Linked DNA regions of Callithrix jacchus. The protein of the gene in region 1 binds, or shares a complex with, the protein of each later gene. Links are inferred from orthologs where the notes say so. Each region holds a gene or a part of one and is shown on either strand. Other genes may lie near its edges.

Region 1 (4,030 bases):
CACTGCTGGGAGCAGTGGCTCACGCCTGTAATCTCAACACTTTAGGAGGCCGAAGTGGGCGGATCATAACATCAGGAGTTCGAGATCAGCCTGGACAACATGGTGAAACCCCATCTCTACTCAAAATACAAAAATCAGCCAGGCATGGTGGCGTGCGCCTGTAATCCCAGCTACTCAGGAGGCTGAGGCAGGAGAATCACTTGAACCCAGGAGGTGAAGGTTGCAATGAGCTGAGATCACACCACTGCACTTCAGCCTGGGTGACAAAGCAAGACTTCATCTCAAAAACAAAAAAAAGGCCAGGCACACTGGCTCACGCCTGTAATCCCAGCACTTTGGGAGGCTGAGGCGGGTGGATCACGAGGTCAAGACATCGAGACCATCCTGGCCCATATGGTGAAACTCCGTCTCTATTAAAAATACAAAAATTAGCTGGGCATGGTGGTGTGTGCCTGTAATCCCAGCTACTCAGGAGGCTGAGGCAGGAGAATTGCTTGAACCCAGGAGGCGGAGGTTGCAGGGAGCCGAGATCACGCCATTGCACTCCAGCCTGGCGATAGAGCAAGACTCCATCTCAAAAAGAAAAAAAAAAACAGATGGGCTTTCATCATGTTGGCCAGGCTGGTCTGGAACTCCTGATCTCAAGTGATTTGCCCGCCTCAGCCTCCCAAAGTGCTGGGATTACAGGATTGAGCCACCAGGCCTGGCCTTTGTTTTTTCTTTTCTTGAGACAGGGTCTCCCCGTTTCCAGGTTGGAGTGCAGTGGTGCAAACATGGCTCACTGCAGCCTCAACCTCCCAAGCTCAAGTGATCCTCCCACCTCAGCCTCTGTAGTAGTAGCTGGGACTAGAGGCTCTCACTACCATGCCCAGCTAATACTTTAAATTTTTTGTAGAGATAAGATTTTGCTATATTGACCAGGCTGATCTCACCAGGCTCAAGCAGTCCTCATACCTTGGCTTCCCAAAGTAGTGGGATCACAGGTGTGAGCCACTGCACCCGGCCTCATGGCACCTCTGACTGGTGACTAGGAGGCTTGGGTCTACCCAGGCCCTGGGTCAGAAGAGGGGGCTGCAGGCTGGCGGGACTCACACTCGCTTTCTCTGCACCAGCTCCACGTAGTCCTCAGAGCGGGCGTAGTACTCGTCAGGGCTCAGGGCACCCCAGAAGTTGGACCACAGCTTGCCGTGGCGGGACAGCATGGGGGCAATCACCTTCCTGTGGACAGGCGAGGGTGAGGGCTGGGTGGAAGAGAGCAGGCCTGGGGAGCCCAGTGCCCAGGGCAGGAGTGGGGTTCCCGGGGCCTGTTGGGGTGCCCCCCGGCTGCAGGGAAAGAGGGCAAGCCACCTGTTCTCCTCAATGAGGATGCGCAGGGTCTGTGGGTTGGTGAGGACAGCATCAGCGTCCAGGCTGAAGTAGAACTCGCACTCGGGGTCCTGCCGACACATGTCCCTGGAGGTGAGAGCTGAGCTCAAACAGCAGCAGGCAGGGAGGCAGGTGGGGATGGGGAATTGGCCCCACCCCAGGAGAAGAGGAGGGAGGCAGCATCTGGCCTTCTTTCCCCAGGCTCTCCGCTGTCTGGGTGAGCTAGCAAGGGTGGGGAGGGGATGTGACAGCGTGGGAACTGCAAGGATGCGAGTGGAGAAGCCTGGGAGGAGCTGGAAGGGTGATAGGTGAGGCGAGGGCCAGGCAGCGGGTGGCAGCCACCCCCACCCTGCACCCTCATCCTGCCCTCCTCCCTGCCCAGTGCCTGCTCACATGGCCATGTCCCTGGCCTCGCCTGGGCTCAGAGCCTCCTCTGGCCCCACCAGCTTCGTGGCTGCAAAGTGTTCCTGGAGCTGCGGCCAGGAGTCAGCGATGTGAGGCTCATGGAAGACCTCCTGGGGAGGGGTTGACATGGGGGACGGGCTCAGAGGGCAAGGAGGCGGCCCTTGAGGGATGGGGGTGCAGGTAGGCTATGGGGGTGGGGGCACGGGAGTGCTGATTAGGGCAGGGGAAGGGTCCTTTGGGAGAGGCTTTGGGGGGCGGGGGGGTCTCACGTTATTGTGCAGGAAAAGGGTGATCCTGTCGTGGGGATAGTCTAAGAGCAGCAGCCGCTGCAGGAAGCTGGGCAGAAATGGGGTAGGCTGTTCCACAAACACGGCCAGAAACACCCGGGGGGGAGGCTGGAAGATGCGACACGAAGGTGCTCAGAGGGAAGCCTGGACTTCCCGCCGCCCCCACCCACCCTCCACCCTGCCAGCTTCGGGGACTCAGGGGCATTGCCCCCACCAACACCCAGCCCACTGTCCTTGCACCTCCTGCTCAGCATGCTGCCTTCTTTCCCGGCACCCCTGCCTCACCTGCCCCCCCGGGAGTGTCCTCCGGTCCCGGTTGCAGAAGCCACAGCCTCCCTCGGGAGTCCAGCCATTGGGGACATAGTTTCCCAGGTAGTTGAGCTGCAGCTGTTGGGGAGAGACAGAGGCTGAGTGGCTGAGGCCTCCAGGGTGGAGGTGGGGCACCTCTGCTGTGGGAGCTGGGGAGGGCCGGCTTCTCAGAAGGGTTGGAGATGCCCAGGGGTTGGGGCAGGGCAGGGCAGGGGTTGAAGCCACTGGTGGCACCTTAGTAGGACCATTTCCATGGACCACAACGGGGAGCGTGTCGTAGGCCACGTTCCGTATACGCACACGGTTCCGATCAAACTTTAAAACCACTTCATCTGGGGAAGAAAAAGGCCAGGATTCAGACCCCCTTTCTCTGGGAGCTGCCGAGCAACACGTTCTTCTAAATATGGGGTCCCAAATTCTCCAGGGATAAAGGGACACTGGGACTATCCTGGAGTGTGGCTTGTGGGGGGCAGGAACCTTCGAGTTCTGACCAGGCTGCTGGCTCAGAGAGCTCCACTGACTACCTGCCTGAGCATATCGAAGCCGCTGGGTGAGGAAGGGCAGGATGAACTGAGCTGGGTGCCACTGGGAACCTCAGCATCCCTATCCCTCTTCATGTTCTCTCTCATTTTTTTTTTTTGAGACGGAGTCTTGCTCAGTCACCCAGGCTGGAGTGCAATGGCGCCATCTCAGCTCACTGCAACCTCCACCTCCTGGGTTCAAGAGATTCTCCATCCTCAGCTTCCTGAATAGTTGGGATTACAGGCGTGTGCCACCATGCCCTGCTAATTTTTGTATTTTTAATAGAGAAGAGGTTTCGCCATGTTGGCCAGGCTGGTCTTGAACTCCTGACCTCAGGTGATGATCCACTTGCCTTGGCCTCCCAAAGTGCTGGGATTACAGGCATGAGCTGTCGCACCCAGCCTAATTTTTGTATTTTTAGTAGAGACAGGGTTTCATTATGTTGGCTAGGCTGGTCCTGAACTCCTGACTTCATGATTTGCCTGCCTCGGCCTCCCAAAGTGCTGGGATTACAGGCATGAGTCACCGTGTTCAGCCTCCTTGCTTTTTTTTTTTTTGAGACAGAGTCTCGCTCTGTCACCAGGCTGGAGTACAGTGGCATGACCTCAGCTCACTGCAACATCTGCCTCCCAGGTTCCAGTGATTCTCCTGCCTCAGCCTCCTGAGTGGCTGGAATTACAGGTGGCTGCCAACATGCCTGGCTAATTTTTGTACTGTTTTTTAGTAAAGACAGGGTTTTGCCATGTTGGCCACGCTGGTCTAGAATTCCTGACCTCAAATGATCCTCCAATCTTGGCTTCCCAAAGTGCTGGGATTACAGGTGTGAGCCACCACGCCCGGCCTCTCTATCTCTTTTCTCCCCATCCCCTGAGGTAAGTCACTAACCCCTCCACAAGTTACTTTCCTCATCTGTAGGAGGTGGATAACCAGGGACCTTTCTCTTGTTAAATGAAATCACAGAAGTAAAACCCCTGGCCGGGTGCCCAGGCACAGCATGTGTGCCCCAGACGCCAGCATGCTTTGGCTTCCCTTGCTTCTAGTACCGTCAGCACAGTGCGACTCACACCATCGGCCACTCAGACGCCCGACAAAGCCACAGAGAGGTGGGCTCAGGCCAGCTCAGCTCCTCCAGAAGCCTCTCC
Region 2 (4,525 bases), on another chromosome or scaffold:
GACAAACATGGAGAAACCCCTCTACTAAAAATACAAAATTAGCCAGGCTTGGTGGTGCATGCCTGTAATCCCAGCTACTTGGGAGGCTAAGGTAGGAGAATCACTTGAACCTGGAAGGTTCAAGATTGTGACACTGCACTCCAGCCTGGGCAACAAGAGGGAAACTCTGTCTCAAAGAAAGAAAAATAATAATATTTATTATAAATATTATAAACTCTGTCTCAAAAAGTGATAAATAAATCATTTTAAAAATAAAATGTAGGCCAGGCGTGGTGGCTCACGCCTGTAATCCCAGCACTTTGGGAGGCCGAGGCGGGTGGATCACGAGGTCAAGAGATCGAGACCATCCTGGTCAATATGCTGAAACCCCGTCTCTACTAAAAATACAAAAAATTAGCTGGGCATGGTGGCGCGTGCCTGTAATCCCAGCTACTCAGGAGGCTGAGGCAGGAGAACTGCCTGAACCCAGGAGGCGGAGGTTGCAGTGAGCTGAGATTGCGCCATTGCACTCCAGCCTGGATAACAAGAGTGAAACTCCGTCTCAAAATAAATAAATACATAAAATAAAATAAAATGTATATATCATAAACCAGCTGGGCACAGTAGCTCACACCAACAAATGTTGGCTGGGCACGGTGGCTCATGCCTGTAATACCAGCACTTTGGGAGGCTGAGGCAGGCAGATCACTTGAGCTCAGGAGTTCAAGACCAGCCTAGTCAATATGGCAAAATGCTGTCTTCAGAAAAAATACAAAAATTATCTGGTGCAGTGGTGTATGTCTGTAGTTCCATCTACTCAGGAAGCTGAAGGAGGAGAATCATTTGGCCCAGGACGGGGAAGTTGCAGTGAGCCGGGATTGCGCCACTGCACTCCAGCCTAGGCGATGAATGTAAAACCCTATATCAAAACAGAAGAGTACCTCAGCAGGGCACAGTGGCTCACACCTGTAATACCAGCACTTTGGGAGGCTGAGGCGGGTAGACCACAAGATCAGGAATTCGAGACCAGCCTGGCCACAATGGTGAAACCCTGTCTCTACTAAAAGTACAAAAATTAGCCGGGCATGGTGGCTCGAGCCTGTAATTCCAGCTACTCGGGAGGCTGAGGCAGGAGAATCACTTGAACCCAGGAGGTGGAGGTTGCAGTGAGCTGAGATCATTGCAGTTGCTGGAGCCACCGCACTCCAGCCTGGGCAACAGAGTAAGACTCCTTCTCAAAAAAAACCAGTATATCTCATAAACCCCCTCCCCTGCCTTCCTTCATCCTCTCCTCTGAACCACACCCACGTCAGTGGGCTATAGTCATTCATTCATTCAACAAACGTTTGTTAAGTACCAATTGTGTATTTGGATTATCCAGACTGGGGAATCAGGTGGAAGGAAAAGGGACATCTGGGAGTTTAGTTTGACTGTAGTGCCAAGAGCTAATTCTACCCAATAAATTGACAGTAACACCAGCAATGACACTAATAATAATATTAAAATCACTCAGCGCCAAGCCCATGTCAGACACACCAGCTTCACATCCATTAACTGGTTAACCTTCAGAGACAAACCCAAAGCGAGAATTATATTAATACACTCATTTTCTTTTCTTTCTTTTTTTTTTTTAGAGGCAGGTTCTCACTCTGCCCAGGTTGGAGTGCAATCATAGTTCACTGCAGCCTTGAACTCTTGGGCTCATGCGATTCTCCTGCCTCAGCCTCCCAAATAGCTGGGACCACAAGGCACAGGCCACCGCACCTGGCTAATTTTTTCTAGAGATGGGGTTTTGCCATGTTGGCAAGGCTGGTGTCGAACTCCTGAGCTCGAGTGACCTGCCCACTTTGGCCTACCAAATGGCTAGGATTAGTGCGTGAGCCACTGCGCCCGGACCATTTTCCATTTGAGGAACTGAGGCGGGGAGTGAGAAGTCACCACTCAGAGACTTCCTCAGAGCTCTGCCCCATTCCCTCCCAAGAAAGCTTCCTCCGGGTCCATCTGGTCCTGGACCCCACACACCGCCGGTCCCAGAGCAGGGGTCTGATTGGGGCCTGGAGCCTAGCTGACTTCAAGCTTAAGAACAGCAGCAGGCACGGAAAGGCTGTTAGATGTGGCCCCCCGGAAACGCCCCAATAGGGGCTCTGGGCTCTGTTCTTTGGAGGTGTACGTGTCCCAGAGAGAGATGGAACAAGCCCCAGTCAGCGAGGCCAGATCTGCCCTAATAGGGTCAAGCAGGCAGGAGGGTCCCCAGCCCACCCTAAAGGAACCATCGGTTCCGCTTGTCTTAACGTGGGGAGGGCTGTTTCTGGCCCACCTCATAGGAGTACAGCAGGCAGGGGGCACGCGTGGGTCAGCCCCAATGGGGGCAGCAGGCAGGGGCACACGTGGACCCTTCCCGATTGGGGCAGCGGCCAGGGACATGCGTAGAACCGTCCCGATGGGAGTAGCGAACAGGAAGCATCTCAGACCCGCCCCGAAGGGGACAGCGGGCAGGGAACGCGTAAACCCTCCCCTAAGGGGACAACGAGCAGGGGCTCGCGTGGACCCACCCATAAGAGGACAGCCAGCAGGGAGCTCGCGGGGACCCGCCCGATGGGGACGGCAGGCTCGGCTCACCATAGCGCCGTGCGCTCCCGCGGGTGCCGCAGCCGCTCGAGTGCGCCCAGCGTGGTGTGCAGTGCGTGGGCCGCGTTTCGCGCCAACAGCGCGATCAGCACGCGCGGCGCCTGCAGGGGCGACTCCGGGCTCCAGCGCTCCTCGGGAAAGTAGGCGTCGGCGCCCGGCGGGCCTCCCGGCGGCAGTGGCGCCAGCAGCAGAAGCAGCAGCGCCGGGAGCGGCCTTCCGCGCCGCAGTCGCGCGCGTGGGGCCGCCGCCATCGCGCCACGCGTCTCCTTTAAGTCGTTTTTGTGCCGGAGGACGCCGGCCGCACGGTAAAAAAGTCTTCAGGGCCCCGCCCGGCCGCTCGCCTTAAAGGGGAGGAGTCCAGGCCCCGCCTCCAGACGCTCTCAGAGACTCAAAACCCGAGTGACGTCACCTACAGCCCCACCCAAGACGCCCCGCCCCCGCATGATCCTTAAAGATACAGAGCGCTTGGAGAGGGAGAGCTTGGAAGGGAAGTTAAGGCTAGCTTTAGGGTTAGGAATCCGCGCTTCCTCCAGTCGCTTCCTACCACCCGGACCTCAACCTGATGCGCCCCAACTTCCCCAAGTATAAAACCCGGGCTGTGCCACCCGGCGGGCTTGGCTACTTAGGACCTGGTTTGGGACCCTAGAGACCTGAGCTTCAGTTTCCTCTGCTGCAACGTGGATTTGGCATCCTGGTTCTGGACCTCACGCCTGTAATCCCAGCACTTTGGGAGGTAGAGGCGGGCGGATCACCTGAGGTCAGGAGTTCGAGAGCAGCCTGGTCAACATGGTGAAACCCCGTCTCTACTAAAAATACAAAAAAAATAGCTGAGCGTGATGGTGCGCGCCTGTAATCCCAGCTACTCAGGAGGCTGAGGCAGGAGAATCGCTTGAGCCCTGGAGGCGGAGGTTGCAGCGAGCTGAGATTGTGCCACTGCATCTCAGACTTCTGCCTCTCGGGTTCAAGCGATTCTCTTGCCTCAGCCTCCCAAGTAGCTGGGATTACGGGTACCTGCCACCACGCCCAGCTGATTTTGTATTTGGGAGTTCGAGACAGTCTGGCCAAGATGGTGAAACCCATCTCTACTAATAAAACAAAAATCAGCTGGGCGTGGTGGTGCCCGCCTGTAGTCCCAGCTACTTGGAAGGCTGAGGCAGAAGAATCGCTTGAACCCAGGAGGCAGAGGTTGCAGTGAGCCAAGGTCACATTACTATACTACAGCCTGGCAATAGAGCTACACTGCGACTCAAAAAAAAAAAAGAAAGAAAGAAAGAAAGAAAAGAAAAAAGAATGATACAGGCCAGGCGCGGTAGCTCACACCTGTAATCCCAGAACTTTGGGAGGCCGAGGCGGGTGGATCACGAGGTCAAGAGATCGAGACCATCCTGGTCACCATGGTGAAACCCTGTCTCTACTAAAAATACAAAAAATTAGCTGGGCATGGTGGCACGTGCCTGTAATCCCAGCTACTCGGGAGGCTGAGGCAGGAGAATTGCCTGAACCCAGGAGGCGGAGGTTGCAGTGAGCCGAGATCGTGCCATTGCACTCCAGCCTGGGTAACAAGAGCGAAACTCCGTCTCAAAAAAAAATACAAAAAATTATCCGGGCATGGTGGCGCTCACCTGTAATCCCAGTCACTCGGAAAGCGGAGGCAAGAGAATCTCTTAAATCCAAGAGGTGGACATTGCAGTGAGCCAAGATCGTACTATTACACTCCAGCCTGGGCTACCGAGCGAGACACCATCTTAAAAAAAAAAAAGTTGAAAACAAATTTACACTCTGTGGACTTGACGAGGAAAGATCTTTTCATATTAAGAAAAAGACCCCAGGGCAAACAATGGTTTTCTCAAAAGGAGCAAGATGACAAATTCTTGAGGCTGTAATTGTTCCAGAATTAACATCTACATCCGGTCTCACC

The links. The genes of interacting proteins can lie anywhere in the genome.
Region 2: the proteins of PLOD3 (region 1) and COLGALT1 are in contact, whole or in part, in a cryo-EM structure (PDB 8ZGE), measured with the Homo sapiens proteins. The link is inferred for Callithrix jacchus from reciprocal best matches to the Homo sapiens genes PLOD3 and COLGALT1. Residues at the interface, in NP_001075.1 of Homo sapiens: Leu226, Val229, Val230, Leu231, Lys232, Phe233, Asp234, Arg235, Arg241, Gln261, Tyr264, Leu265, Pro275, Gly430, Ala431, Leu432, Arg440, Glu442, Glu446, Arg452; in NP_078932.2 of Homo sapiens: Ala36, Tyr37, Phe38, Pro39, Glu40, Glu41, Arg42, Trp43.

What each region holds. Positions count from the first base shown.
Region 1 is NC_133503.1:12,545,152-12,549,181, reverse strand, and holds part of PLOD3 (multifunctional procollagen lysine hydroxylase and glycosyltransferase LH3), read right to left. Parts: intron 2,699-4,030; coding exon 2,601-2,698; intron 2,445-2,600; coding exon 2,343-2,444; intron 2,166-2,342; coding exon 2,040-2,165; intron 1,881-2,039; coding exon 1,759-1,880; intron 1,453-1,758; coding exon 1,348-1,452; intron 1,219-1,347; coding exon 1,093-1,218; intron 1-1,092. UniProt on the Homo sapiens protein: Multifunctional enzyme that catalyzes a series of essential post-translational modifications on Lys residues in procollagen. Plays a redundant role in catalyzing the formation of hydroxylysine residues in -Xaa-Lys-Gly- sequences in collagens.
Region 2 is NC_133523.1:16,291,153-16,295,677, reverse strand, and holds the start of COLGALT1 (procollagen galactosyltransferase 1), read right to left. Parts: upstream 2,925-4,525; 5' UTR 2,859-2,924; coding exon 2,599-2,858; exon of another isoform or gene 2,532-2,598; intron 1-2,531. UniProt on the Homo sapiens protein: Beta-galactosyltransferase that transfers beta-galactose to hydroxylysine residues of type I collagen. By acting on collagen glycosylation, facilitates the formation of collagen triple helix. Also involved in the biosynthesis of collagen type IV.